7 linked regions of the Mus musculus genome follow. The main gene of each other region encodes a partner of the protein of the gene in region 3 in a complex. Links are inferred from orthologs where the notes say so. Each region holds a gene or a part of one and is shown on either strand. Other genes may lie near its edges. The genes, in order: Lsm2, Prpf3, Lsm8, Snrpd3, Lsm6, Snrnp40 and Snrpf.

Region 1 (4,204 bases), on a different chromosome or scaffold from region 3:
TTAAGGGATGCACTGCTATCAACACCACTTAGCTAATCATCTTTCAAAGTATTATCATCCTCCAGGATATGAGAGAGGTCATGGAAGGTAACAAAACTTACAACCAATAAACTGAAGGTCAGCCCAGATCTGCATGACTCCCAGAAGCATCAACTATTATTTTTAAAATATTGATTTTTATTATTTGTGTGTATGTGCATGTAGTTACCCACAGAGACCAGAAGAGGGCATCAGATCACTTGCAGCCAGAGTTCTAGGTAGGTGTGAATCACCTAATGTAGTTGCTGGAAACTGAACTCTTATTTTTCAGGGAGAGCAACAAGTTTTGTTTTGTTTTAAAGATTTATTTATTATTATATCTAAGTACACTGTAGCTGTCTTCAGACACTACAGAAGAGGGCGTCTGATGTCCGCTCTCTTTACAGATGGTTGTGAGCTACCATGTGGTTGCTGGGATTTGAACTCAGGACCTTCGGAAGAGCAGTCAGTGCTCTTAAAATCTCTGAGCCATTTCTCCAGCCCCCAGCAAGCTCTTTTTAAAGCACTGAGCAATCTCTGCAGCTTCCCTAACTGTTATTTGTAAACATTTACTGCTTTGGAGTCACAGACCTATGTACACATACTGGTAGCTGGAATTACTCTTTATTATTTTTGCTACACTCTTTTTTTTCTCGTATGAGTTTTTTGTTTGTTTGTTTGGTTTTTTTTTGTTTTTGTTTTTTTTCGAGACAGGGTTTCTCTGTGTAGCCCGAGTGCTGGGATTAATGGCCTGCGCCACCACACCCGGCTTCTTCTTCTTTTTTAAAAAATTGGATATTTTCTTTATTTACATTTCAAATGTTATCCCCCCCAACTTATCTTTAATAATGAAGATACAAGTCAAGTCTTCTCAGTTCTCCAGCCCTCTAGCCCCTAAGCAAGGTTATCAAGGCCAGTGCTCCCATACCACCTTACATGCCCCACCTTATATTATATTTACCCTCTGTGTAACCAACTTTAACCACCTCAGATCCTGAGTTTTACTTCCTCACTCTCTACATCCTATGAATCCCCACAGCTCTGTAGACCATTCGTGTGATTTGACTTTTAGACTATGAAAGGTCTTAGTCTGCACCTCAGTCTGGGCCAGCTTCTAACTTGGCCACACTGGTCAGAACCATCCTGCTGGTCAACCACTGATGTGTGTTCAAAGGTTTCAAGAGTCTACAAATAAAGTTATTTTGCTGGGCGGTGGTGGCACACGCCTTTAATCCCAGCACTCGGGAGACAGAGGCAGGCGGATTTCTGAGTTCGAGGCCAGCCTGGTCTACAGAGTGAGTTCCAAGACAGCCAGGGCTATACAGAAAAACCCTGTCTGGAAAAAAAAAAAAAAGTTATTTTAAAGAGAAACATGAGGGCTGCATATGAAGTTCACTTGTTGAGCATGCCCAGTACATGAAAGAAAACAAAAGCAAACAAAACCCGGCTTCAATGAAACTATAATTTTCGAAGCACTATTAGGAACCAAGTAGACCTTAACGGATGTGACAAGAACCCATAAACATATTTCCAGTGGTACAGCATTTAAGCATTTACCCCAACTCCTGAATCGTTAAGAGCAAATGATACAGCCAGGCAAATCCTAGCACTCAGGAGACAGAGGCATGTGGATCTGTGTGTTCCAGGACAGCCAGGACTACACATACATGTTACTTAACTGTATCTCACTGTGTAACTCCGGATGGCCCTGGACATATGTAGACCAAGCTGTCCTTGAACTCACACCTCTGCGTTCAGTGTTGGGATTACAAGCATGTGTCACAATACCAGGCTCACTCTTAAACTAATCTTTTACACTTAAGACGAAAGGTATTTCTTCTGTGTTTTGCCTACCTACTCTGAAGTAACTTTGTCAACAACAACGACAAAAAGGATCAGGACACCCGGCACCCCCACCTTCCACCAACTCGCTAAAATAAGGACCTACCTCAGGTCATTCTTGAGTTCCACGACTACATCCTTGCCCACAAGAGACTTGAAAAAGGAGTAGAAGAGCTATTGGAAAAGAGGGAGGAACTATCACATGAAAAGGGACGGGGAGGAGGAGCCCGTGACAGTATTTTGAAATACTAGTCTTTGTAGCCCCTCCTAGTAGTTCTCAAAACTTCATAACCAACAACAATCCGTTAAACGGGACTCTGCAGTTCACGGAGCCACGGAGTGACAGGACCTGCGTTGCACCCCTCGACGCTAGAACCCACTCTCTGAGTCGACCACCTCCCAGCTGAGACCGCTTCCCAACCGCACCCTCACAAAGTCCTCGTCAACAGCACAGAAGTGCAAGGCTCGCTTCCCGTTCTCCCCCGGCGCCCGTGGGCTTTCTCTTGGACTTGCTAAAGGTTTCCCCCAAAACACCATCGGCTCCGAGCAGCCTCCTCACACTGGGGTGTGGGCAGTAAGGCTGTACGGAAAACCCTGGGGCCTGGCTGCCGCCCCAAGCGACCGACACGAGTGCCCGCACCCACGCCCGCACGGTTCGAACCGCCCGCCGCGAGCGGCGGCGCTCCCTTTTGACGTCACGGTACCCACCATGGTGCTGGCGCCACGCGGGGCGGCCTGGACCGCGAAGGAAGGCGCCGGGGACTGCGAGCCGGAGGCAGGGCGGGAGCCGGAGCGCGAGCCCGCGCGTGAAGCAAGACTGGATCACGCAGGCGCACGGGGAGCCGCGAAAACCTCGGCTGAATTCAGGCTCAAAGGGAGCGGGGTAGGGCAGAGCCGAGAGGACCGCCAAACCGGTAGAGGGGCGGAACTTCCTGTCCCCCCCACTTCCTCCCGAGCAGCCGCTTTCTCACAAGCGCATGCGTGGGCCGTGGCAGCTGCGCGTTGGACGTAGTTCGTCTCTTTTTCTGATGGTTGTTGAGACTTTTCTCTCTGCCGCGTGATTAGCTCGTAGTCTACGTTTTCTATGGGGAATTATTGGGAAGATTGAGAAAATTATGACTTGCGTATTCTTTAGTAAAATTTAAAATGTTGCTAAGAGCTGGACAGCGTTCGTGCCCAACTGGAATCCTGGAGTTGAGACGGGAGGATTCTGGTTTAGAGGTCAACTAAAGCTATTATAGCAAGACCCTGTGTCAGAGAATAAAATATACACCAATACACACTGGTTATGGTGTGTGTGAGTGTGAGAGAGAAACCGGAACACAAATCCTGATTCTTATCAAAGGTTCCCAGTAAGTAAGTTTCTCTCAATTTCAGTCTTTTGGGGTGCAAAGTTGACCCAGAGCGGACACATTCTAAGCAAAGCAAATGAACAACATCCCAGCTCTAATGTTATATATATATATATAATTTGGCATAGGACTCGTCTGTAAAGGACTAAACTGACTGGAACTCAGTGACAGAAATATTTTACTTTATCTTAGCTTTTTTTGTGTGTGTTTGACAGTTTTTGCCTGTATGTTATGTCTGTACTACATGAGTTCCTGGTAGAAGAGAGGGCTTCAAATGCCCTGGGCCTGGAGTTACAATGGTGAGCCTCCTTGTGGGTGCTGGCAATCAAATCTGGGTGTTCTGGAAGAGCAACAGATGCTTGTAACTGCTGATCCATCCCTGCATTACTGAAATATTTTCAACTAGATCACCGACAGATACTACTTTGGATGTTCTGGGAACAGCATTACCAGGCTTGTAACATGCTGGTTGTGAAGGAGTTCACAAGAGCTGACTGATTTAAAAAAAAAACAAAAAACTAGAAAAGCCTCAGTAGGCAAGTTCCAGAGAAGAAAGAGATGGTCTGAGATGAAAGGGCTTTGTTGTTATTTCGATTGACTTGTTTTATGTAAGTATGCTGTGGCTTTCTTCAGACATCCAGAAGAGGGCATCAGATCCCACTACAGATGATTGTGAGCCACTCTGTGCTTGCTGGAAATTGAACTTAGGACCTCTGGAAGAGCAGTCAGTGCTCTTAACTGCTGAGCCATCTCTCCAGCCCTATTGTTTTTTTTTTTTTAAATAATTACATTAAGTGGGAAGTTGCTAGGTTGTATCTTCTGTGGATATCATGTCTGGATAAATAGGGAAACACTTTCTATTCTGTCTTCTCTTCTTGAGGCTGGCTGTAGGTGCAAGGCAGTCACGGGACACAGGTGAAAATTCTGAGAGTCTAAACCTGCTGATTGCAGGGTGGAATTCTCTAGTGTAATAATCTAAATAGATTGTAGCC
Region 2 (4,191 bases), on a different chromosome or scaffold from region 3:
GTCCCAGAAGTACTTTCTCTTACCTAACTGCATTTGATGTCCCTTATCTAACCTCTATCCACTACCCCCACCTTTCCCAGAGGAACTGCCATTCCTTAAAAAAAAAAAAAAAAAAAAAAAAAAAGTTTTACATTTTATTTGGGGGATGTGTAGTGGGGAACTTGCCATGGTAGACAAGTATTTATTAAGTACTTAATTGTATGAGTGTTACTGTAAGTATAAGCACTAAGCGTGTGGTGGCTATTCCTGGTTATCTACTTGACTATATTTGGAATGAACTACAATTCAGAATTGGAAGGCTCACCTGTGATCCTAATCTGGAGGCTGAGATATACAATTTCTGACCTGGATCTTGGCACGGAGATCTTGAGGCATAGTGGCTATAAATTCCAGAAAATTAAGACTGGGGGATCTTTGAGTTGAAGGCTTGGTGGCACACACCTTTCATCTGGGCCACACCTTCTGCTGGAGACCTACATAAGGACATTGGAAGAAGGAAGATTCTCTCTCTCTTCTCCACCTGCTTGTCTTGTGGGACTGAGCAACTGCTAGATCCTTGAACTTCCTTTCATAGCTGCTGCTGCCCATTGTTGGGACTTGGACTACAGACTGTAAGTCATCAACAAATCCCCTTACTATACAGAGACTACCCATAAGTTCTATGACTCTAGAGAACCCTGACTAGTACAAAGCCTAAGTTAACTTTTATGAATACGGTAGATGATACTACAAGTACAATAAGGAAAAAAAAAAGAAAAAAGAAAAAAAAAGTGGGACTCTAGAGCGTCAAGTATCAAAATTAAATAGGGCGGCCAGAAAGGCTTCTCTAAGGCTAATTTGAGCACAAACCCGAAGTAGAGTGGAGTGCAAATCTTGTAGTTTTCTTAGTAAAGAGCCATGCAAGGCAGAAAGCGACAAGCGAGAAAGTAGTCTGGTTTCTGAGGCTGAGCTAGCAATTGGAATACTGTTATCCCTAGAGGTTAGGAAGTGAGGCAGGTTTTGGTGTTTCATTGGCGAATGGGAAGCCAGGGGATAGCTCTGAATCTGTTCTTTTTTGTTGCCTGGTCTCTGGTATCGATTTTAAATTAGGGAGGCAAAGTTAAGGGAGGGCAGCTAATGCTAGAGATCACAATTTTTTTTTTTTTAAACTAGAAAGGACACTTTGAGTACGAATGTGGACGTCCTTGCTTTTAGTTCTAAGTGATAATCTTAGCGCACTAACTCTTTGGACCCGAGGGAATGTGATGCCAACCGATTTCTGCTCCGGGAAATAATGCCCGAACTAACGTTGGCATCGCTCCGGGACAACCCGCGGACTAGGCTTTAGGATCCCGCGGCGCGTGCGCCCCGCGGCCGGCACCTTGATACCGCGGCTGCGCAGCTGAGGCCCCGCCTTCCGTAGTCACGTGCCGTAGGGACCGCAGCGTGGCGGTGTGTGGCGGTAGCGACGGCGGGCCGTAGGGCAACCGGAAGGTTTCCGGTTCCGGTGTAACGTTCGGGCTCCGTCTCAGGGGCTGAAGTTTGTGAGGTGAGTAGTGGCCCCGCGCCCGAAAGGCTGTAGCCTTCGGTGCGAGCGGCTGGACAGGGCGGGAGTGCTCGGCGGGAAGCAGGCTGGGAGGACTCCCTGGTTCTGTCCGGGGAAGAAGTCAGAATGGGCTGGCTGAAGGCAAAGGGCGGGGGCGGGAAGCAGCAGGGTGGGCAAACCTGCCCTGAGGTGAGGAGTTAGCGCGGACTCGGTGGGGCCGGGGCCAGGTGGGAAGATAGCAAAGACCGGAGCATGGGGTTCCAGGGGCTTGTAGCGTAGAAAAGTAAGGAATCCCTTCGGAAGATGAGATTCTGCTACCTGCTCATTCAGAAGACAGCGTTCTGCCTCCCTCCCCTTCCCCTTCCCCTTCCCCTCCACCCCCCAGCCCCCCACCGACGCTGACGCCCCCTCGCTATTAGAGTTGAACATCTGGTTAGTGACAACTCTACTGACTGAAACTTTCTTATCCATTGACTGTTTCGTTTGCACATTCGGGTCGAATTTGAAGACATCCATTTGTTAGTATATTTCTTGAGCTTACATCCAATATGCTTAATATGCTTCACCTATTACTCTGGATTTTGAAAATTGCTTAAACTTTCTAGCCTATTATTCAATTGTAGTGGGTTGTAAGTCCCATTAACATGAGGATTCTTGGCTGTTTTGTTCACTGCTGTGTGTGTCCTTACATGCAGTAAGTATTCTGCTTGACAAGAAATAGTAACTTAAGTATTTATTGAATGGAGTGTTATACCAGATGTCTCATTTTCTAAGATAAGTATACTGAGGCTCTCGGGAATTAACTTGCTTTCCTAAGGGCTTATGAATGGTGGTGCTTACTATATTCTATCTTAAATGGGCTTTCTTCTCCACTTTTAGTGCCTGTGGTTGCTTTCTTTTTGATAGGCAGTATACTGCTATCTCATGATGGCCCAAAAAAGCTATCCCAGGATTATTCATAAAAGTTGTCACTGAGAAACAGCCTTCCAGATTCATTCAGATGTATTAAATACTGTGTATTGACAGATCTTATGAGAGAGAAATCTGTCAAGAATGTAGGAGCTAATTAGACTGCATCTTTTTTTTTTTTTTTTTTTTTTTATGACAAGGTCTCATGTAGCCACCGGTGATGTTGAACTCTGTAGCCAAGGCTGGACTTGAACTCCTGATTCCCCTTGTGCTGGGATCACAGGCTTGTATGATCATTCTGAGGTTGCATTTTTTAGATGTCTTTAAACATCTTGAAAGAGTAATTCCCAGATCATACTAAGATGCATGGCAGTGCTAAGAGGAGGTCTTATGGGAAGTTGAGGTCGGTGCAGTCAATAGATTGACATGCAGCCATTAGGAAGAAAATCAGAAATTAAGTTATCTTTATGCTGGTGAAGATGTTGAGATTTAAGATTACCCAAATGTAAGCATGAATAGTGTTGAAATTTTTCTCCAACTGTGTTAAGTAATAAAAAAATCATGTTGGTGTATAGAATACTTACCAGCATGAATAAAACTACAGAGAAAGGTGACAGCATTCTTAAGGATTATGAGATTTAACACAGGAGGACTGACTTGAATAAACCCTCTTCTTTGAATCCGTTAGACAAGTTTTAGGTCAAAGTTAGGTTAGAGAATGGCTTCCAGAGCAGAAGTTGACTTCTAGATTGACTCTTCAGATGTTCTGTTTGCCAGTCTTTTGTGTGACAGGGTCAGAGTTAGAACCCATTCCTCAGATTACGTTATTCCTAGTTTGTTCATTCTTTAGATAGCAATGATGACTGATGCTGAGTTAGAATTAAAATATCAAATGAGTGGGGCATGGTTGTATGCTCCTAGAATTTCTCACTGGGCAAGTGGAGACAGGAGAGTTGCCAAGTGTTGAGTTCTGTATGAGCTACATTGTAAGACCGTATCTCAAAAAAAAAAAAAAACAAAAACAAAAACTAATGGACCCCTTCCTTCTGTTTTGAAGCTTGGTTTTAGGGAATGTATTTCCCTTCATATGAAGTGGAGAGATGTGCTTGGGGTTGAAAATAGGAATGGGGAAAAGCACTCTTATTATGCTATTATCTTGATTGTTTTGTTTTCCTTTTCTCTGACTCTTGCTTGGTTTCTTTTAGGTGTAGTTTTTTTGTCCCATTGGAGCTCTCATTCTCCATTTTCTCCGAAATGGCGCTGTCTAAGCGGGAGCTGGATGAGCTGAAGCCATGGATAGAGAAGACGGTGAAGAGAGTGCTGGGCTTCTCAGAGCCCACAGTGGTCACTGCAGCCTTGAACTGTGTGGGGAAGGGCATGGACAAAAAGAAGGCGGCTGGTGTGTACCTCTCTCACTCTTCTGACGTATAGTGATTCCAAACACTGATTTGAACTTCCCCAGGTTGTCCCTGTTAGGAGCATTAAAGGAAAGGTGGTGCTAGCCCCCTTCTCCTTTTGTTATTTGCTTGTTTTGAGACAAGGTCTCCTGTGTAGTTGTGTCTGACTTGGAACTCCTTAGAGATCCACCATCCTCTGCCTCCTGAGTGCAGGGGTTAACAGTGTGCACCACTCCCTCCTCCCCCTTTTTTATTTAAAAGACAGGGTCTCATGGAGCCCAGTCTGGCTTCCAGCTCACTAGCTGAGGATGGCCTAAGACTTATGAGTCTATTTCCTCTACATCAGCAGCTCTCCAGCTG
Region 3 (2,918 bases):
GGGAACACTAAAAGGTTTTGACCAGACCATTAACTTGATTTTGGATGAAAGCCATGAGCGGGTGTTCAGCTCTTCACAGGGAGTAGAACAAGTGGTGTTGGGGTTATACATTGTGAGGGGCGACAATGTGTAAGTACATAAGTCATTTTGAGTACATTTGTGCTACTGGTATGTTTGCTTTATGGAAGAGAGAGTTTCTCCAACATACATGATGCCATATGTATCATAGAATTGTGCACTTAACTTGTTTTGTAGGTAGAGCTTATCTTATATATAATTCTAAATGCTGTATGTTTAGATGCCTCAGGGGTCAACTAAAGTGATCTCACAAACAGTTGCCTACTGAGATTTCCTGTGTCTTTACTTATTTGAGAATCGGGGTTTGAACCTAGAATCTTGTACATGGGAACAGGCAGTCTACTACTGAGCTGCGGTCTCTCTTTTTACATCTTGAGACCAGACCTTCCTAAGTTGCTCAGACTGACTTTCAACTTTAGGTTCCCCTACAACCGCAGCCTCCTAGTAGCCTAAACCATCATTGTGTGTGCCCAGATATGTCCACAAAGGGCCCTGCTTTTTCATCACATTTCTTAAAGAGGCTTCTTAACGATTTGGAAAATATCTTTTAAAAAATCTCCCATTTGAATTATTTTAAATGGTCCACGCTCATTTAACTGTTACTATTTTTAGTGTAGTGGATGTACTTAATGTGTGCCACGATGCACCTATTGTTTTGTTGAATTAGGACCCTGACAGTGTAGTTTGAGAAAGGCTGTAACCATTTCGAGCAGTGCTCTTCACAGTCACTTTTTCTAATGATGGGAAGCCTCACGCCTCAGCATTTTCCACTGTTACAGCTACTTGCTTTGTATAGCTGTGGTGTGTTTGAAAAGCGGCTGGTGACCAAAGAACTAATTTAAAAATTGATTTTGGGGTTATGTAGTTTGTTTGTTTGGTTTTGGTTTCTGAGGATAACCAGGCTGACCTGGAACTTGTTACCAACCCAGATTTACTTCATTTTCCTTTAGCTTCCCAGGTGTTAGCATTATACATGTAATCTACCTCCTGTGGCTAACATTTAAGTTTAAATACTATGAATAGTCAAAATATGACTAGAGGACAGCAAAAGACGTTAGTAACTAGGTGGTTTGAAGGGCTCCGTAAGATGTAGGGAAGAGACACTGAACTTACTTTGTGGATATGCTTAAGATTAATTTATTAATACTGTACACTTATTTTAAAATGAACACATGCTCTAGGCACTTAACTTTATCTGAAAACTGTATTTTGGTAAATATGATCAACTGATCCTTAATTAAAATTGTGTTTACAATCTATAAAATAGTCTCTGGAGATGACTTTTGGCTTAGATTATAACGTGAGTTATAAAGAGTGATCCAGAGCAGAGGGCCAGGTCCTCTGACCACAGCAGTACTGATGAAACACTGGGGGTGTGTGGACTGATGATTACGGTGCCTCCTGGGTCTATGTACAAAAAATAATTCAGAATTAAACATTTACCCTAAACCTGCTGGGACTAGAGCCTGCTTTCAGGAACCCATGAAAACAGTTTTAAGAATTTTTGCTAATAAATGGATTAGGGTCTTGTTAGTAGCTTGCAATTAGCCCCACTACCCCATGGAGACTTTTGTTTGCCTCATATAAATGCTGCAGATCAGATGTCAGTTTTCCAAAGAGCTGATGTTCAGACTCTTCACAGTATCTCTTTACATATGTTCCTGTCCTACCTTCACATTACTTCTTGAGTCCCATGACATGGGTAATTCAGTTCACTTAGTGATGAGATGAAATGGCTTTTGTTTCCTACCTTGTATTTTTGCTGCACCTTCTCAGTTCCACATGTTTAAGAAGCATGAAACAAGATGCTGTAGTTAATGAGACTTTAGAAATGTATGTCAATTTATTTTAGAAATGTTTTGACTCTTTTTTCTCATATTAATAACAGAGCAGTCATTGGGGAAATAGATGAAGAGACGGATTCTGCACTCGACTTGGGGAACATCCGAGCAGAGCCTCTGAACTCCGTAGCACACTGAGACCTCAGTGTGTAGTGAGATGTGTGTAAATCCTGTACAGAAGCGTCTGTCCTGAGAGTGATGTTTAGGGTTTTTATGAGTGTGTAATTGTGCAGTTTGACTTCATGTTGGTACACTGTAATATGTAATTTAAATATTTCTACATTTTTTATTGGGAAACATTGCCTAAATTAATAAATGTGGTTGGCTGGTTTATTTTTCTACCAAATGATACAAAAATCTAAGGATCATTTGAAAACTTAGAAAATACCATTACTTTTGGTAATTTAATATTTATGGGAAATTGGCTGTAAAGAGAACTTAGACTATTATTGTAACTTATACTAATGCAAATAATAGTAATAAAAGACACATTTCTTTTTGTGGTTTTCTTTTCTTTCCTTTTTTTTTTTTTAGAAATACCAGATAGTAAATGGCCGTCTACAGGTAACTGTCATAGAGTTTATCCCAATGTGGTACAGTTCTCCAGTAGTTGGAAAAATTGTGTCTAAATTTTTAGATGCCTGTTAAGGTCACAAGATTTGGTTTCTGAAAGAAGATTTTGTGAATGTTAAATGCCATTGTACTACTGAATTTTTTTAAACTAGAGTGAGGAATATCTCTATTCAAAGAGCTTTTGTTTAATGTGGGAAATTAGTTAAATCAAGAGCAGTGCTCTCTGCTGTCTCTCATTACTTAGTCCATGAGGCAACTTTTGTTGTTTTGTTTTTTGTTTTTTTGTTTTGTTTGTTTTCTCAAGACAGGGTTTTTCTGTGTAGCCCTAGCTGTCCTGGAACTCACTTTGTACACCAGGCTGGCCTTGAACTCAGAAATCCGCCTGCCTCTGCCTCCCAAGTGCTAGGATTAAAGGCATGCACCATC
Region 4 (4,154 bases), on a different chromosome or scaffold from region 3:
TCAGGAGACAACAGGTTGGCACCCTCCAGCTGCCACTCTGGGGGACCTGCCAGGGCATTCACGCTGCGACAGCCCTTCCAGCAGGCTGCCAGGGACTGACCACAGCAGAAACATCAGAGCCAGTCCATTACTGGCTCCAGTTACTCCTCTTACTTGGGTGAAACTTCCTCAGCACCATGTTGTAGCCTGAGGCTCCTTTTGCTCACTCTGCCTTCCTTTCCTGGACTGAAGACCCTCCTGCTACGATGATTAATATTACCGACTTGATGGATTTAGAATTACTGAAGGGACAGGCGTGTCTGCGAGGGATTGTCTAGGTTAGGTGGAGGTGAAAAGTAGAAACTGGGCTAAGTCCTGGCACTCATCTCTGCTTCCTGACTGCAGATTCAATGTGACTAGTTAGTACCCTCCTCAAGTTCTTGCCACCATGACTTCTTCTGCATCAGACTGTCTCATCACACTGTGAGTCGAAATAAACTCCCCCTTCCTTAAGTTGCTTTGGTCAGGAATTTGATCACAGCAACAAGCAAAGTAACCAATCACTTCCGCAATCCTGCTCGGTCACTGGCGTCCTTCACGCCACCTCCCCAAAGTCTCTGGTGTATCTAATTCTGGGTTGGCATTTACAGCACAGAGGATCCAAAACAACTCCATCCTCATTTTATTCAGGGGAGAACAAGTGACCAGGATACCCAAGGTCCTATCATTATGGCCCAACTCAATTTGGAATCAGGGAATTCTCTGATTCCAAAGCTCAAGTTCTTAATTAATGGGGAAAACCCCCAAACCATATGCCAAAACTTTGGCAGTTTTATCAGATGAAACTTTCTCCAAGACAAAAGTAAGCACACACAATACGTGAGTAGAAGATCCTGCAAATTATACACTGTGCTGGGAAGCAGACACTGGCTCTGAACCTGACCGACTCTGAGACAGAAAAGTGAAACTTAACTGGTTGTTTTATAGACAAGTACTTAGCAACTGTATTTGGCTAAAGGCTACCTGACAGTAAATATAGACCTAACCCCAGAGAAATCTAGGAAAAGAGATTGTGCTTTCAATTCAGCATTCTGACTCCCTACCAAAAGCAGTGTGGTCTTGCTATAAAGCCCAGACTGGCCTTGAACTCGAGAATCTACCTCAGCCTCTCAAGTGCTCGGATACACACGTACAACCACAGGCTGTCAAATGACTTTTCTGCCTCAAGGCTAAGTCTATACTGACATAAAATCTTAGAGCCTGTAAGAGTGCTTGACAGGTAATAAGTACTTAGTTAATAACTGTTTGATGAGAATAACTTCATTAAGACCTCCAAGTACACCGCTCTACCCACAGGATAGAAGCCACAGCCCTTTCCCAGCCCTGGTGCCAAGCAGGATACCTGACAGTTCATGTTGTCCTCTGCTTCAATGAGCTTCCCTCGGTATACTTCCCCGGTGTTGGTCTCACACGTCACTATGTGGCCTTCAGCCTCGTGCAAGACTTTAATCGGCACACCAATAGACATCTTGGCAGGACTCTTCCCGGGCTACAGGGAAAGAGAGACGATGGTCATCTTTCAGAGCTTAAGGACTGGCACGCCATGGGCTTTGTAAATGATGTCAAGAGCTGCGTTTCCTGTGGAAGGAGTGTGGCTCTTGGCCTCAAGGAACCACCACAGCAAATTAGCGCAACACGTAGGGTAGGGAAGGATGGTAAGCTGGACAATGAAAAGTAATGGGAACAAAGAGTACTACCCCCATTCTCATCCCAGCCATATGACCCTTTATAGTCACTAAAAGGGCTATGATATAGACCCGGAGTGTAAACAAATCACTGTTTACATGGAGTTAAATAAAATGCAAATAAAAGCAAACTCAGTCTTTCAGTCACACCAGAAATATCCCAAGTAGTCAGCCACCACATTTGGATAAAGGCTACAGAACCTAATAGTACATATAGACCTGAGCCCCAAGGAAGCTAGGAAAAAGAGCTTGCGCTTTTCAATCCAGCGTTTTGAATCCCCACCAAAAAGCAGACCAAAACTGTCAAGGCTACGGTGCTATAAATAGGAAATGTTCATCAAGCAGAGAAATAGGGTAAACGCTCGACTTTAAGTCTCACTACAAGACAAAGACTATGCACAGGGCTTTTAAAATGCTGAGATTGGAAACGACTCAAAACCGGAGCACACCATTTATTTGCATGAGAAGACTGTAAGGATGCTAAACACAGTCTCTCTCTCTCGGTGAGGAACCACGGCTTTCAACTTTAGGAGTGTGGGTTTCCATGCTGAAAATGGTAGGGAAACACTGCAGGATGATAGCCAAAGGTTCAAAAAAAAAAGAGTAGCATCTACAAAGTGGATCGAACATATAGCACGGCAACTTGATTAAACTTCTGCAGCAGCGTGGAAAAGAGGGCCACTGCAGGAATGGGAGTGGAGGCAGGGATGAAAGGGACGTTGTAAATGATGATCCAAAAGGAAAGGAGGTAATTAGCAAGAAATGACTGCCCGTAAGCTTCGGAAATCGGTGACCTGAGAAGGCACCGAACGTGCAGACTAGGCGTAAATTAATAACTGTTCAAGGGTTCGGGAGATGAGCTTTGGATAGGCCCTGGCTTCCCGCCCTCCGCTAAGCAAGCCCCGCTGAGCTCCTCCGCAGCGGCCCTTCCAGCTCCTAAACCCCCTGGGGAAGCCCTGGCCTCCTCTCTCCCGTTAGCCGCCTCTCCTCACCAATTAACTGCAGGCTTTATTTTTTTTCCGGTTCTGGCACAAACGTTAGAAGGCGAAGGCGAGAGAACGACCGGCCCGACTCTCACGAATACCACGCGCTCCCAGAATGCCTTGCGCAGGCCCCTCCCTTTCCTTTAAGCCTACTTGCCCTTCACTCTCACTTAGCCGGCTGGGGAAACCAGGGCTCTAGCACAATAGTTCCGGCACCGGAGAGGGCCCGGGGGACCGCCGGAAACACCAATCCTGGAGCCCAACAAGGGAACATGGTAACCCTGAGTACTGTAGTGGCGGATTGGGCGGGATCTGGGCTTGAGCCCAGTGCTCTGGGGAGACAGGAAGTGAGGCTTGGACTAGAGATTTAAGCTTTGGATCCGGCCACCGGCAGGTAAGGGACGCACTGAGCCCTGGGAACTCTCATTATTCCTTGTCTGGGTAAGAAGACCTAAAAGGAGTCGGGAAAGTGTTCCCTGGAGTCTCGATAAGGCACTGCGGAGAACCAGAGCTTCCATCTGAGGCTGCAGAAGAACAGACCTAGCGGAGGGAGAGCGTGGGGAGCCCACGTCGCTAGGGGAAGGGCTTTGGGGGCGGGGCTCGGGGAGGGGCGGGGCTCGGGGAGGGGGAGGGGCCCCCGGAGCGTTTCAGGGAAGGACCTACGGGTAGCGGGTTCTGGAAGGAGAAGTGGGGGTGGAAGGGAAGAGGCGTGGCTTATGGAAGGGGCGGGTTTCCAGCGCCCAGACCTGGAAGGGATTAGGCGTGGCTTGAGGCGGCCTAGCCACCGCCTACCCGGCTCTGAACCGCGGTGGCGGCGGCGGCGGCGGAGGCGGAGGAGGAGGAACTCTGCGCTCACTGGCCGCGCTCGCTGCCCAGCAGAAGTCGCCGCTGCAATCAGCTCCAGGCCGGGGCCATGGGCGCCCTGCGCCATCCGGGTCATGAGGACGGAGGCAGAGGCAGCGGGGCAGCCGCTCGAGCCCGGTCAGTGCCTCTCTTCAGGGCCTTGCCTTCAACCGGGGGAACGGAGGGGGACTCCGCCCTAGAGCCGGGCAGGGTCTGGCCGCGCGCGACCTTGGGTCGTCTGCGGCCTCAGCCCAGCCTGGAGCTTCTAGTGGGTCCTAGCTAGGTGGATATTCCTTCTCATCTCCTGTCCTCCACTTAGGGTCGTTCCTGAGTCTCCTGGGGCTTGAAGCCCAGGGAGTGCTGAGAGCCGTCAAGTGGAAAAGTCCAAGGGGCAAAAAGGCACAACCTTGTCCAGAATCGAATAGCCCTGCTTGAAGCACGTTGGGTGATCCTATTCCCCGGGGAACTGTGGAAAGCCTGAGGCCGAGAAAGAGGGGGAAAGAATGGCTTGAGAGCTCTCAGCAAAGGGGCGGGAAAGAGGGGGAAAAGAATGGCCTGGGAGCACCCAGCAAAGGGAACATCTTTTTCTCAGCGCTTTTTGTCT
Region 5 (3,934 bases), on a different chromosome or scaffold from region 3:
ATGCAGTGTGTGTATCAAACTGTATTCACCCAGTGATATATATTAGCCATGTTAGACTCAGTCTCCAAAGAGACTTTAAAAATTCAAGAGGACAAGAAAAATCTCACTTCTCTAGTAGTCTTGGCACCTGAACAGACTGTGTGTGGAAGAGGCATTCAAAGATGGTATCAGAAAGTCCAATCCCTCCCTTACCCGTCTACAACCATAGCTACTAAACAGGCATGGCTACTAAAGCATCATGCACGCACTTCAACAGCTACGAGCCTGCAATTCTTTTCTAACAACCATTAAATACTAAAAGAAAGGAAAACAGAAATGCTTGGTGGTCAGAGCCAAGCCTAGGAAGAAGCCTGGTCACATACAGATTTCTGACACTTACTCAGTGTTTGCTTCTTACTGCATGTTTTTCTCGTTTGTCTTATGTAGTGGGGCGGGGCAGAAGCAGCTGCTCCAGCGTGCATATGATGTCAGAGGTCACCCTTGCGAGGTGTCCAGGTTTGGCCATGAGTGCCCTGACAATTGGGTTACTTAGGCTAACTCCTAAAAGCAAGCTGCTCTCAACCAGAGGTGACTTTTGTGCCTCACCCTGGGGACATTTGAAAATGTCTACAGTCTGTACTGTCACTACAGGAGAGTGGTAACTAGGATCTAGTTTACAGAGGTCAGGGATGTCCCTCAAGACTCTACAGTGTACAGCAGTGGTTCTCAACCTCCCTAATGTGTGAGCCCTTAACACAGTTCCTCATGGTATAGTGAGCCCAACCATAAGGTTAATTTTATTGCTACTGTTATGATTTGTAATGTAAATCTCTGATATGCACATGCAATTCCCGAGGAAGGGTCGCCAGACACCCCCAAAGGGGCTGTGACCTTGGGGTGGGAACTGCTGGCTCAGAGGACAGCACTCTACAACGAAGGACTGAGTGGTGGGAGTGGTTCAACACGTCAGCTGACAGAAATGCTGCCAGGGAGCCCTAGCCACCACCTCGTTCCCTCTCTCTCGGTTTTCTGGCTTAAACACCACGGGATTTTAGGAAAGGCGAGCCTTGGCGTGAGAACCAGATGCTGAGTAGGCAAGCCCCTCTGTGTCTGTGGGTTTAAAGTGTTTACGGATCCAGCCAACCTTGCCTCACCTGGTAAAATGAAGCTGTAATTACTTGTCCAGCGGTCTCTCTGCTACCCAGACACAGACTTTCCCCTTGCTGTACTCCCTAAGCAATACTCTACTGCAACCAGTGACATTAAATGGCACGTTGTGAGTAATCTAGAGATGATGTGAAGGGCACAGGAAGACTGCACAGTTTATATGTAAACACAGAGGAAACCTGAACGTCCATGCACTTTTCGGTACTGGGAGGGATAACAGTAGCACTTATCAGAAGTATCTGATCCCAACACGGGGAAGCTGGAAGCAATCGTCAAAGTCTTGAAAGGGTTGACCTTCAAAAAAATAAATAAATTTCTAGTGCTGAACACAAAAATGTAACTTTTCTATTTTCCAGTCCCTCAATCCAAAAGTAGAAAATAAGCCAGGGAGTTAAAAACAAAACAAAACTTTCTTTAAAGAAGTTCTATTATCTAGTAGGCCACCCTTCAGTGAGAGAAGAGCTGCTGCAGTCGTTAGGGGTACTCACTTGGGAGGCAGGAAACCTGAGTTCTAATCTCTGCTACTTAATTATCTGTGCAGCTTGCGTAACTCATCACCATTTCACCTGTCACGGCCCCAGGCTCATCTGCAAAATAAGGAAGTTAGGCTAGATGGGTACTGGCTGTCTCTTCCTGTTCCAGCATCTGATTAACATGTGCAGTCAGTCAGTCAGTCTGTCTCTCTGTCTGTCTCTGTCTGTCTGTCTGTCTGTCTGTCTCTCTATCTCTCTCTCTCTCTCTCTCTCTCTCTCTCTCTCTCTCTCACACACACACACACAGTCACAGCCTGCAAGTTCAAACTCCCAATAGTAATTCCAAAGTGAGGCTGTGCTTTGCTACTTTAGAACCACAGTAGGCCCTTTCACGGTTTTGAAGAGCCAAATAAATTACTAACACTTTAAGAAAAACCAGTCTCGCAATGTGCAAGAACCATCTATGCTAGTAATTGAAAATTTGAGGAATAGAAGTTAAGGCATCACGATATCGTTCGGGATGCGAAAATGAAGCAAAAAACTCACACCCAAAGACGTCAGCCTGGGAAACAGCTGAATAATTTATGAGATCCACACAATAAAACAGGGGGCCCAAACGAGATCAATGAATTTTAAAATCACAACTTGTCTCATTTTAATGTAAGTATAAAACTAAATACTGGTGTGTGGTTAAAAAACTTGGTGGTCTTAGCTGAAACAGAAACAGGCCCACACAAGAGAAAGGGAGTTGGTGTGCCGAGGCCGTCAGCAAGGACCATTTCCTCCGCTCGTCTGTATTTACTTTCCGTCGCGCAGGGCTCGCGGGTGGAGGAGGGCGCCGAAGTCGCGCGCCACCGTAACCCTGGGCGCTCACCCCAATCGGCGCGAAGCGCGCGCGCCACGGGAGCGCGCCCGGCACCGCGAGCCCGCGTGGCCCAGACCAGCGAGCATCTCCTGGGACGCAGGCCCGGCTCGAGCCGCTCCCCGCCAGCCCGGACCATCCGCGGCCTACGCCAGCCGCTCCCACCCGGAGTGCCTGCCCGCACCCATTCATTCCTCCCAGGCCGCGGGCTCACCTTGCAGCCGGATCCAGAACGCTCACAGGCCGGGCTTCCGCGGACGCGCGCGCCGAAAACCGAAACCGCCCCCGGCAGCGGCTTTCCCATCTCACCCAATCAGCGTCCTCCTTGCCTATGGCGACCCGCGGGGATCAAAAACAGTCAGAACGCGTTAGTGAGCTGGCTTCCAAGACCGGGTTTGTTTAATGGTACCGTCGGCACCCAGCCAGGGCTTGAAGTAAAGGTCCGATATTCTGATATTCTCTCTTTTGCCAGAAAATAGAATACGAAAGCAAAACAACCAACCAAGAGCTAGAAGTGATCTTGTGTGTGTGTGTTTACAGTAAAGAACCTTAAAATATTAAGAAACGGAAACTTACAGTTAAAACGATGGCTGTTGAGCACCCCGAAATAGCCTTAAATAATTTAAAACAAATACAAGTTAAAAGCCTCAAACCCTCAAACTAACTTCTGCATATAAATTAAATGTATGAAGAGATTGTTTCCATGGGAATGCTGAAACAAAAAAATAATTCAAGCAACTCTGAATTATAACGGCATCAATTAGAAAACGTTACAAATTAGTTTAATTGGAAACTGCATGCAGATACTATTTAAGTAGTGTATGGGAACTTGGTTAGGGATACTTCATGAATTCTTAATGCATGCTTTTTATTTATGGAAGAAAAAAAGTCACAGGAAGACAATTTCTTCTACCCCCACGATCTCTTTATATTTTAACTTATATTTTATATTTATATTTTAAATTTTAATTCTGTTTCTGTTGTTTAACATTCAACAAAGTTATAATACCTTCAAACAACAGCTACATAACCCTGATAAGTGTTACAGGATCTAAGATGCAGAATTGTTTTCTGAAACACAAAGTGGATTCCTCCTTTTCTACGTGCCTTTGATTGATATCCTGGACAGTGATCTACCTGCCTTTGGTTGATACCCCAGACAGTGAACAACTGGGTGGAATTTGGAAAAGAACAGGAACATCCTTCTGTCTGTCTGTAAAATTCCAGTTGATGTCAAGACCAAATAATTACAGACATTGATCAAACAGCATTTTAGGCTCTTGAAATATAAAATTAGGAACACAGGTAAAGTCACATTTAAATCAAAGAAGGAGCACGCTATGCCTTGTCCCTAAAATAAAAACTGCTTTATAGGTCAAATTGGGGGCTGAGGATTTAGCACAGTGGTAGCATATCTAGTGTGCATGAACATCTCTGGCACCACAGCGGTAGT
Region 6 (4,039 bases), on a different chromosome or scaffold from region 3:
CTTTCCAATTAGTACATTTCCTTCCTTTTATTTTACACATGCCCTGCTTTAGCATGACTATAGTTTAACTTGGCAATTTAGACTGATGTCTGAGGATTTCTATGGCACTCAAAATTAAAGAGATCATTATTAGCAGAGAGCTGTATGTAACTCCAGTTCAAAATTGTGCCTTACGTATTAGCCGGTCAAATCCTGCAGAAGCCAGGGTGGATCCATTGGGGTGAAACTTGCAGCAGTACACTTCCCCCTCATGTCCCGAGAGCAGCATGATTGGAGCTTGAAGGGAAGAACACCTGGGCGGTCCCTAAACCAAAGACAAGTGTGAGGCAGCCATTGTCCACAGGCAAAGGAAAGCTGGGGCAGCGCATCTCATCTGGGTCAGGGATAGCACAGATCTCACCTGGGTCAGCGATAGTACCCCTGCTCACAGAACTCTCTGACAATCCCTTGGACAGTCCAGCATATGCCCAATGCGCTTTTTTCTCCCTAAGGCTGTCTCTGTTCCACAGACGACTTCTGACTGCTTGATCATGTTGAATCCACTTATGCTTCAGAATCTTAACATAGAAAGATGTCTTTCACAAGAGACCTTCCTTATTTTGTATCTTTTAAATATTTCCTCCTCAGAGTCTGTCTTTCATCACTCAAACTAACCTACTTTGAGTGAGGTACCTCCCCACACCAGTATTCCACTAGCTCCAGGGCAGGCGGTCAAAGCCCCATCACTACCTGAATTTCCCTTTCTTGCCTTTCTTTTTCCCCAAAGAGATGAAGCTCTGGGAGTACAGGTACATTCTTCATTTTAGTCACCATTTTCCTGTCTCAAGTTCACCCAGCTAGCCTTTGAAAAACCTTGTATGGTACAGCTTATTACGCAAAATAGATTTTGGGGGAATGAGCAGGGTCTTAATATGTAGCCCAGGAAGGTCTTAAAATTTTCAGTCCTCCTAAGAACAAGTGTGTATCACTGTGCCAGGCTTAGCAAAGTAGATTTGATTATGATCTTGGAGAATAAACCTAGGCAATCTTACTCATTAAATAAGAACAAGTGTACTACCAATAATCCTGAAATCTCTTTAGCAGATTCCGGCAGACTTACTTATTTTTATTATCATGTACTATCTATAAGCAATGGGTTTCATTTTGATATATCCATAAATGCAAATAATGTACCAAGATCATACTCATCCAACATTTTTATTCAAAAAGTGTCACATGTTGGCTAAAGAGATGGCTCAGTGGTTAAGAGCACTTACTGCTCTTCTAAAGGACCCAAGTCCAGTTCCCAGCATCCACAATGGGCAGCTTTCAAGGGCTGTAACTTTAGGGTCAGAGGATCCAACATTCTTTTCTGGCCACTGAGTTCCCCCTCCCCACATATGAAACACACACACACACACTCACACTCACACACACACACACACTCACACACACACGCCTAAAACAGCACTCAGTAAAACAGTAGACCTTGCATTCTAGTGGAAAGTGAGAGAAAGGCACACAGAGCCACCCAGTGCTGAGTGCCATGGGAAGAAACAGTATGGGTTCCAGATTACAGGACACTCCAACTTGAAACACAGTGGTCAGGAAAGCCCCTCTGAAAACCTGGTGTCTGAGCAAAGATTTGAAAGAGCAAACAGCTGACCATGTGGGCATTTAAAAGAACATTCCAGCAAAAGCACCAAGGAAAGAAAGAACATTATAAGTCGGTGTCTTGAGCCAAGTGACATGCCAGAAAACTGGTAGATGAACAAGGTAAGGAGGGGATTATTACAGAGAATTTGATTTTTAAAAAAACGCACAATAGAAAGCCAACATAATGTTTTCAGCAGAGTATACCATGTGACTTAATATTTCCATGATTCCCCTGGCTACTGGATTAATAACCAATCCTTGGTTCAAAGACAAAAACCAGGAATACTAAATTAAGCTCTACCTGCAGTGATGTCAGATGACATAAAAACAGTTTTAACAAGAAGGTAAAAAAAAAGATCATAGTTACACAGATCTCTTCTCTTCTCTCTTTCAACAGGACTTTGCCATAATAAATAGCCTACACTGGCTTGGAGCCATGGATCTTCTGGATACAAAAAAGTTTGCCTTCCCCATTTGCAAAGTAACAGCTTCTTTCAGTCAGGTACCATGGTTAATGGAAATTTCACACGCAAAACATCCAAGATAACATCCAACGAGTGTTAATTACAATTATAAATGCAGAGAAAGAAAAAAGTTCTACCAGGTAGTAAAGCGAGCTATCATTCATTTCCATTGCCTCCCCTCTCATTCATTCGTCCACTCTGCAAACTTTCCTGAATGTTTCTTTTATGCTAAACCCCTGAAGATTTAGGATGCGGAAGCTTGGGTCTTGATTTTGAGGCCAAGGTTTTAAATGATTCAATGCCACTGAAGGGCTGAAAACAGGCGTCTACTAGGGAAACACGTATGAACCACACAGAGAACACCAGGCACCTTCACAGAAGCCTATTTTAACTTCAGGCTCACTGTCTTTCCGTTCCCTCAGAGGCGACATCATCCGTAGGAAGAGGGGCGGAGGGCCAAAGGCGGGATGACTCCCCACTTACCGCCTGCAGCAATGCCCCTGGAGTCGCCTGCTGCGGCCCCGCTCCGGGGCCGGCTCCTGCCGCTCCCAACAGCAACTCATGTCGCGGCCGCTTGACGGGAACCAGGGGTAGCTCCGGGCCCTTACGCTTCTGCTGCTCGATCATGGCGGCAGCCACTCTCCTCGGCGCCGCCACTAACCGCGCCGCCGACCGGAGGCGCCGCGCAATTGGTTCCAACTGAGTTCTTCCTCCAGAACTTCCGGAGAGGAGCAACCAATTGGCTTCTAACATTTCCTTCTGGAAAGCCCTCTGAATACACTCTTGTGATTGGTCCCATTCTGATGACGTCACGAGAAGGCGACTCTGGGATTGGGTCGCGGAGCTGGCGTTCTCCCCCGCCCCCTCGGGCGCGCAGTGCATCGTGGGTGAGAACGAGCGGAGCAGGTTTGGCGTTCCTAGCTATGAAGCGGCTGTCCTGCTAGGCGCGGACGCGGAGTGAGTGTGTGGGGAATCAGGCGGGTGGCTGTTCCAATCTGGAAGGTGCGAGGTGGTGATAGGCCTGAGCCTGCCCTTTTCAGCTATCAGCCTTAGCAGCATGGGGTGGCAGGAGGTGTCGCCGGAAAGAGAAGTCCCTTGGTAGGCTGGAGCGGAGCTTTGGCATCTCTGGCTCCAGGACTCGAACCCTCAGACGGCTATCCCTTGACAGCTGCTCTGCAGGATGCCAATTCTGCGTCTAGCTCTGTGCTGGCCCGAGTCCTGGCCTCCAGGCTTCAGTGCCGGACTTGGCTGAGGCGGCGGACTTAGTTGTCACTGATTTAGCCGTCTTTTTAAAAGGGCTTTAATTTATGTCCCCGAGACAGCCAGTGATGAGGAAAGTATCAGATGGTTCTTCCGAAGCACAGTTTAGTTGAGAAATCGAACAATCATGCTTGCGTGCCAGGTCTTCTCGAAAGTGGTCCAAATGATATTTATTGTGCAGTGCGTTTGGGGGTCATTCTGAAGAAATATGGTCCTCTACCCCAGAGTGTGGGAAACGTGTTAAACAAATTTGATGTTAAACAAAAACCATTTGATCGGAAGACTACCTAAACAAGCGATGCCTCTTGCTGTGAGTTACTAATATAAACTTGAAGGCTTTTTAAAGGAAAAGACATCTGAGCGGTTCCTATCTGATGGGACGGTTCTAATTAGGGGAAGAGAGGAAGGGAGAACGTTCTGCACAGAACAGCAGGTTCTATCAGTCGGAAAGATGAGGGAGACACAAAGAGCCGGTGTGGGGGGAGAGAGAGAGCGAGAGCGAGAGCGCTAGCTTAAAGTGAATATGGTATGGGATGAACCTGGAAGTCATGAAGATTTGCAGGAAGTTGAAGCTTTTACTTTAAAATTAATAGGAAGCCAGCGATAGTTTTCTCTCTCCTCCAGAATGTGGTGCAAAAGAGGACTTGATCCCTCAGGCTTAATGGTGTGATGAGATTGGA
Region 7 (4,130 bases), on a different chromosome or scaffold from region 3:
TTGAGTAGATGTCATATTGTTTTTCATAGCAGCTGTGTGGTTTTGATTCCTTCAGATGGTACCCAAGAGTTACAGTTTTCCACATCTGCACTAACACTTGTTTTCTACGAGGTTCCTCTTTTTAATGTATAAATATTATTCTCCTGATCTGAAATAGTATCTCCTCTTGGCTTGCATTTCCCCAATGACATTGGGCACCTTTTCATGTGTGTATTAACCATGTGCTTTCATCTTTGGAGAAATATGTTACTCACATCCTCTATTTATTTATTTACTTGTATTTTTTAAGACAAGGTACTCACATCCTCTATTTATTTATTTACTTGTATTTTTTAAGACAAGGTCTCATTATGTAGCCCTGGCTGGCCTGTATCATGCTATGTAGTCCAGGCTGGCCTAACTCAGAGATCTGCCTGCCTCTGCCTCCTGGGTGGTAGGATTAAAGGCATGTGCCACTTTGTCTGTTTTTAATTTTTTTGTGTGTTTAATTGTAGTTTCTGCCCAGATTTTAAAGGTTACTTAGGTGGATATATTAACTAGAAATCCAGCTAACAAGAATATGGAGAGATTTGGTCTGGAAAATTCTTGAAACGAGTTATTTACAAAAGCTGTAGAAAAGTCTGGAAAGTATGCCTGTAGTGGTGAATATAGTGTGGGATTAGAAATGAGAGTTCAATGTTATGAATACACTGAAAACCCCAGAATGTTTTGTTTCATCCCTGTCACTTGGTGTGATTCTGTGAAAAAAAGCCTGTGATTCTGTCATTCCTGGGATAGAAGCAGGAGGATTAGAAATTAAAACATCATCCCCATTTCACAGGAAGTTGCAGGCCAACCTGGAATACATGAAACCCTGTTGAAACAAATGAACCACCTAATAGTTGATCTTGCAGTTAATGTAGTGTCCCGAGGTATAAAATGTATCTCTGAGCGAGCCCGGTTTCTGAGTTGCTTCAGTTAGCCAAAAGGTATTGGTTGTCTGTTTGGTACCATGAATATAACAGTGAGCAAAACAAAGTCCATATCCTTGAGCTTGTTCCAGTGGTGGGAGATGGTTGTGGACCACAGATGCGTAGGAGTGATCCACAGCATGGCGGTAAAGCAAAACCAGGGTTATGAGTGTGCAGTACTGAACAGCCTCGCCTCCAAAGAGACCTTTGGCATCTGGGACAAAATCATATCTGTTGGAAGGAGCAGCAGATGCAAAGCTTCTGTCCACGGGGATTGGGGGGGGGGTACTAGGGTGTTTGAGGTACAGACAAAAGGCCAGAGTAGAAGGTGGGATGGCAGTCACTGAAAGCCTTTCAACAGTAGTGAGGCTTTTGAATTTAGTAAGCTCTAAACTTTGGGTCATTAGTATAGATACAACTTAGAAGCCATTTAAGTGTTAGGGAAATGTCAAAAATAATTAATCCATGTGTACCATTAATCTCAGCAGTTATGAGCAGAGGCCGGTTAATCTCTGAGCACAAGGCCAGCCTGGTCTACAGAGTGAGTTCTAGGACAGTCAGAGCTACACAGAGAAACCCTTTCTCAAAAACATAAATATCTACATACACACACAATTACATTCCTTCTGATAGGAGTTATATACAAAATCATCTCACAAACATTTGTTCTAGTGACAACATGTTCTCTGGTTGCTTTGTTTTCCTACAGAGAAACAGCTTGCATGTCTTAAATGCTTTATGCCAGCCACATCTACCTATGTCCACTGCCTGCTTATGAAAGACGCTTCCTTCTCTTCTCTTGTTCTGCCTTTGGTGACCCCATATAGCACTGGTGGATATTTTTTTTTTTTAATTGTAAGAATGATAGCTAAAGCCGGGTGTGTTGGCGCACGCCTTTAATCCCAGCACTCGGGAGGCAGTGAGTTCCAGGACAGCGAGGGCTATACAGAGAAACCCTGTCTCGAATCCCCCCCACCCTAACTAACTAAATAATATAACTAAATAATTAGTTTATTTTAGCTGCTGAAATAGCTAAAGATTTTTCATTTAAAATTAGAATAGAATTTGCAAAAGTAACCCTAAAGATCATTCTTGATTTACACACCCCCACCCCTCCACCCCCATCCCCATTGAGTACATGAGATTTTAAAAATCTTAACTTTTTTTGGTTTGGTTGTTGGCTAATATATTTTAGCCATAGCTTTTGTACACCCATTTGAACAAGTTAATATGATTCATAATGTTTTACTCTAAGAAAAGTTAATGTCTGGTTCTTTGGAGCTGAATTTTCAGAAAATTTTAAGAATTATAACTTACTCAAATAAGCTTTCTTCTTTGAGACACTTTAATAGCAGATAGAAATAACATCTAGAAGGCTTAATAACTTTGAAACGAGCTTTATTATCCATGAGTTCTATACCCATGCATGTCTTAATGAATATATGAAATCCAAAGCTACAAGAGTGATGGGAAGATAATCTTAGAGCTACTGTTTATGGATCCAGTGTGAGTTGTTGGTGTGGAGGAGTCTCAGTCACTGGGTCCTCACCGAGTAGGCATGCTGCACTCTTCCCTCCCGTGCAGCTATACTAATACCTTTCTTTTTGTCTAAAGCTTGCAAATACAGAAGAGTACATAGATGGGGCGCTGTCTGGACATCTGGGCGAAGTTCTAATAAGGTAACAGACTTATTTGTGTGTATGAAAGGAGTTCTAACTAACCTCAGAAATACCTGCTGAAATATATTAGTCCTATTAAACATTAAACAGGAAGTACTCTACAACTAGATCTCAGAAGCTTGTGAAATCACTAACATGTTGGAAGATTTCAGTTTATATTTGAGATTTTCCTACTCTTGATTTACATCTCCTGGCTCCAGCTGTAACCTGTATCAGTGTCCTGGGTTACAGGGATTTAAATTTGAATTTTAGTTGAGTCTGGCTGCTAAGGATTTCTGTTGTACTCACTGTCTGGTATCAGCAACTACCTACATTCTAAGTCGTAGAGATGAAGTGTGATGATGGTAAAAATGTGTGGTGTGTCTTTACTACACCTATACAGGACTAACAGGACAAGTGGCAAGCTGTGAGTTCAGTGTCCAGTCTGATGATGGGGCACTGAGGATTGATCTTGTGTGGGTTCTGAGTGCAGCTCACAATGGACTGTTTTCTGTTACAGGTGTAATAATGTCCTCTACATCAGAGGCGTTGAAGAAGAAGAGGAAGATGGGGAAATGAGAGAATAGCATCTTGGATTTTTTTTTTTATATATATATGTATTTCTATACAATAAAGATTTGGGGTTCTTTTTTTTCAACTTGACTTGTGGACTATTTAATGCAAAGCGCAAATGTTGAAACAATGGATGGATAATTCTTAGAACTAAAGTTTTAAAAGCCTCTCAGTTTTATTCAAGGGACTCTTTTTTTTTTTTTGTAATCCCACCGCTGGTTTAACTGAGACCTCATAAAAGCAGCAGTGTTGTTTAAGGTTTCCAAACCACTTGTAACATCCATAAAGTTAAACATTTTCTTAGTATTAATATATATTGTATTAATAAATCATTATTTCTATATTGACATAGACTAAATAATGTATATTATAGCTAAGTCAAAACATGAAAATTGAAATAATTATGGAGATAAAATACAATACAAATTGATATTTAGGCTGAAGATGTATGATTTTGTTCACTTGAAAGTTTTCTGATAAGGTTTTCAGAGCTTAATGTGAAAGAAAACCAGCCCCATGATTGTTCTGAGACCGTAGTCTATTAGTTTTTAAGCTTTAAACCTGTCCAGTTGTTTTAAGAATAATACATTTTAAAAATGTATATTCAAAGCTGTAAACTTCCTTATTGCTTTAGAAAATATTAAAATTCTCATGCTTTGAGGAAGGCCATTCTATTGTTACATCAATAAATTGACTTTGGATACATGTCTCCAACAGGGACAACCTAAAGTAAGTATTGCTTAGCTCATGGCCTGTACTAGTGAACAATAGAGTTGCAGCAGAAAATAGTTGCTGTTCCTAGTCCTGTAAACTTCCAGCTAAAGGTCTGCTGCGGCCCTGGAATTTGCTAGGGCAGTATTGCATCACTGAAAGCCAACATCCACATAAAACATTCGCTAAGAAAGTATCCTCGTGATCCCGTTCAACTAAAAAAGTACTCTTCGTCCTG

What was found.
Region 1: Lsm8 (region 3) and Lsm2 share a complex: the UniProt entries of both Homo sapiens proteins name them as parts of the precatalytic spliceosome. The link is inferred for Mus musculus from reciprocal best matches to the Homo sapiens genes LSM8 and LSM2.
Region 2: Lsm8 (region 3) and Prpf3 share a complex: the UniProt entries of both Homo sapiens proteins name them as parts of the precatalytic spliceosome. The link is inferred for Mus musculus from reciprocal best matches to the Homo sapiens genes LSM8 and PRPF3.
Region 4: Lsm8 (region 3) and Snrpd3 share a complex: the UniProt entries of both Homo sapiens proteins name them as parts of the U4/U6-U5 tri-snRNP complex. The link is inferred for Mus musculus from reciprocal best matches to the Homo sapiens genes LSM8 and SNRPD3.
Region 5: Lsm8 (region 3) and Lsm6 share a complex: the UniProt entries of both Homo sapiens proteins name them as parts of the precatalytic spliceosome. The link is inferred for Mus musculus from reciprocal best matches to the Homo sapiens genes LSM8 and LSM6.
Region 6: Lsm8 (region 3) and Snrnp40 share a complex: the UniProt entries of both Homo sapiens proteins name them as parts of the U4/U6-U5 tri-snRNP complex. The link is inferred for Mus musculus from reciprocal best matches to the Homo sapiens genes LSM8 and SNRNP40.
Region 7: Lsm8 (region 3) and Snrpf share a complex: the UniProt entries of both Homo sapiens proteins name them as parts of the U4/U6-U5 tri-snRNP complex. The link is inferred for Mus musculus from reciprocal best matches to the Homo sapiens genes LSM8 and SNRPF.

What each region holds. Positions count from the first base shown.
Region 1 is NC_000083.6:34,980,450-34,984,653, reverse strand, and holds the start of Lsm2 (U6 snRNA-associated Sm-like protein LSm2), read right to left. Parts: upstream 2,801-4,204; 5' UTR 2,572-2,800; coding exon 2,569-2,571; intron 2,525-2,568; exon of another isoform or gene 2,398-2,524; coding exon of another isoform or gene 2,287-2,397; intron 2,035-2,286; coding exon 1,967-2,034; intron 1-1,966. UniProt on the Homo sapiens protein: Plays a role in pre-mRNA splicing as component of the U4/U6-U5 tri-snRNP complex that is involved in spliceosome assembly, and as component of the precatalytic spliceosome (spliceosome B complex).
Region 2 is NC_000069.6:95,853,086-95,857,276, reverse strand, and holds the start of Prpf3 (U4/U6 small nuclear ribonucleoprotein Prp3), read left to right. Parts: upstream 1-1,391; 5' UTR 1,392-1,528; exon of another isoform or gene 1,529-1,957; intron 1,958-3,639; 5' UTR 3,640-3,688; coding exon 3,689-3,833; intron 3,834-4,191. UniProt on the Homo sapiens protein: Plays a role in pre-mRNA splicing as component of the U4/U6-U5 tri-snRNP complex that is involved in spliceosome assembly, and as component of the precatalytic spliceosome (spliceosome B complex).
Region 3 is NC_000072.6:18,851,635-18,854,552, forward strand, and holds the end of Lsm8 (LSM8 homolog, U6 small nuclear RNA associated), read left to right. Parts: intron 1-1; coding exon 2-129; intron 130-1,966; coding exon 1,967-2,057; 3' UTR 2,058-2,418; downstream 2,419-2,918. UniProt on the Homo sapiens protein: Plays a role in pre-mRNA splicing as component of the U4/U6-U5 tri-snRNP complex that is involved in spliceosome assembly, and as component of the precatalytic spliceosome (spliceosome B complex).
Region 4 is NC_000076.6:75,516,688-75,520,841, reverse strand, and holds the start of Snrpd3 (small nuclear ribonucleoprotein Sm D3), read right to left. Parts: upstream 2,801-4,154; 5' UTR 2,717-2,800; intron 1,529-2,716; 5' UTR 1,508-1,528; coding exon 1,382-1,507; intron 1-1,381. Other genes in the region: protein GUCD1, read left to right, coding at 3,646-3,688. UniProt on the Homo sapiens protein: Plays a role in pre-mRNA splicing as a core component of the spliceosomal U1, U2, U4 and U5 small nuclear ribonucleoproteins (snRNPs), the building blocks of the spliceosome.
Region 5 is NC_000074.6:78,818,353-78,822,286, forward strand, and holds the start of Lsm6 (U6 snRNA-associated Sm-like protein LSm6), read right to left. Parts: upstream 2,801-3,934; 5' UTR 2,696-2,800; intron 1,734-2,695; 5' UTR 1,635-1,733; intron 1-1,634. UniProt on the Homo sapiens protein: Plays a role in pre-mRNA splicing as component of the U4/U6-U5 tri-snRNP complex that is involved in spliceosome assembly, and as component of the precatalytic spliceosome (spliceosome B complex).
Region 6 is NC_000070.6:130,358,893-130,362,931, reverse strand, and holds the start of Snrnp40 (U5 small nuclear ribonucleoprotein 40 kDa protein), read right to left. Parts: upstream 2,801-4,039; 5' UTR 2,727-2,800; coding exon 2,583-2,726; intron 305-2,582; coding exon 175-304; intron 1-174. UniProt on the Homo sapiens protein: Required for pre-mRNA splicing as component of the activated spliceosome. Component of the U5 small nuclear ribonucleoprotein (snRNP) complex and the U4/U6-U5 tri-snRNP complex, building blocks of the spliceosome.
Region 7 is NC_000076.6:93,582,529-93,586,658, reverse strand, and holds the end of Snrpf (small nuclear ribonucleoprotein F), read left to right. Parts: intron 1-2,331; exon of another isoform or gene 2,332-2,564; coding exon 2,565-2,629; exon of another isoform or gene 2,630-3,128; coding exon 3,129-3,195; 3' UTR 3,196-3,630; downstream 3,631-4,130. Other genes in the region: Ccdc38 (coiled-coil domain-containing protein 38), read right to left, coding at 4,104-4,130. UniProt on the Homo sapiens protein: Plays a role in pre-mRNA splicing as a core component of the spliceosomal U1, U2, U4 and U5 small nuclear ribonucleoproteins (snRNPs), the building blocks of the spliceosome.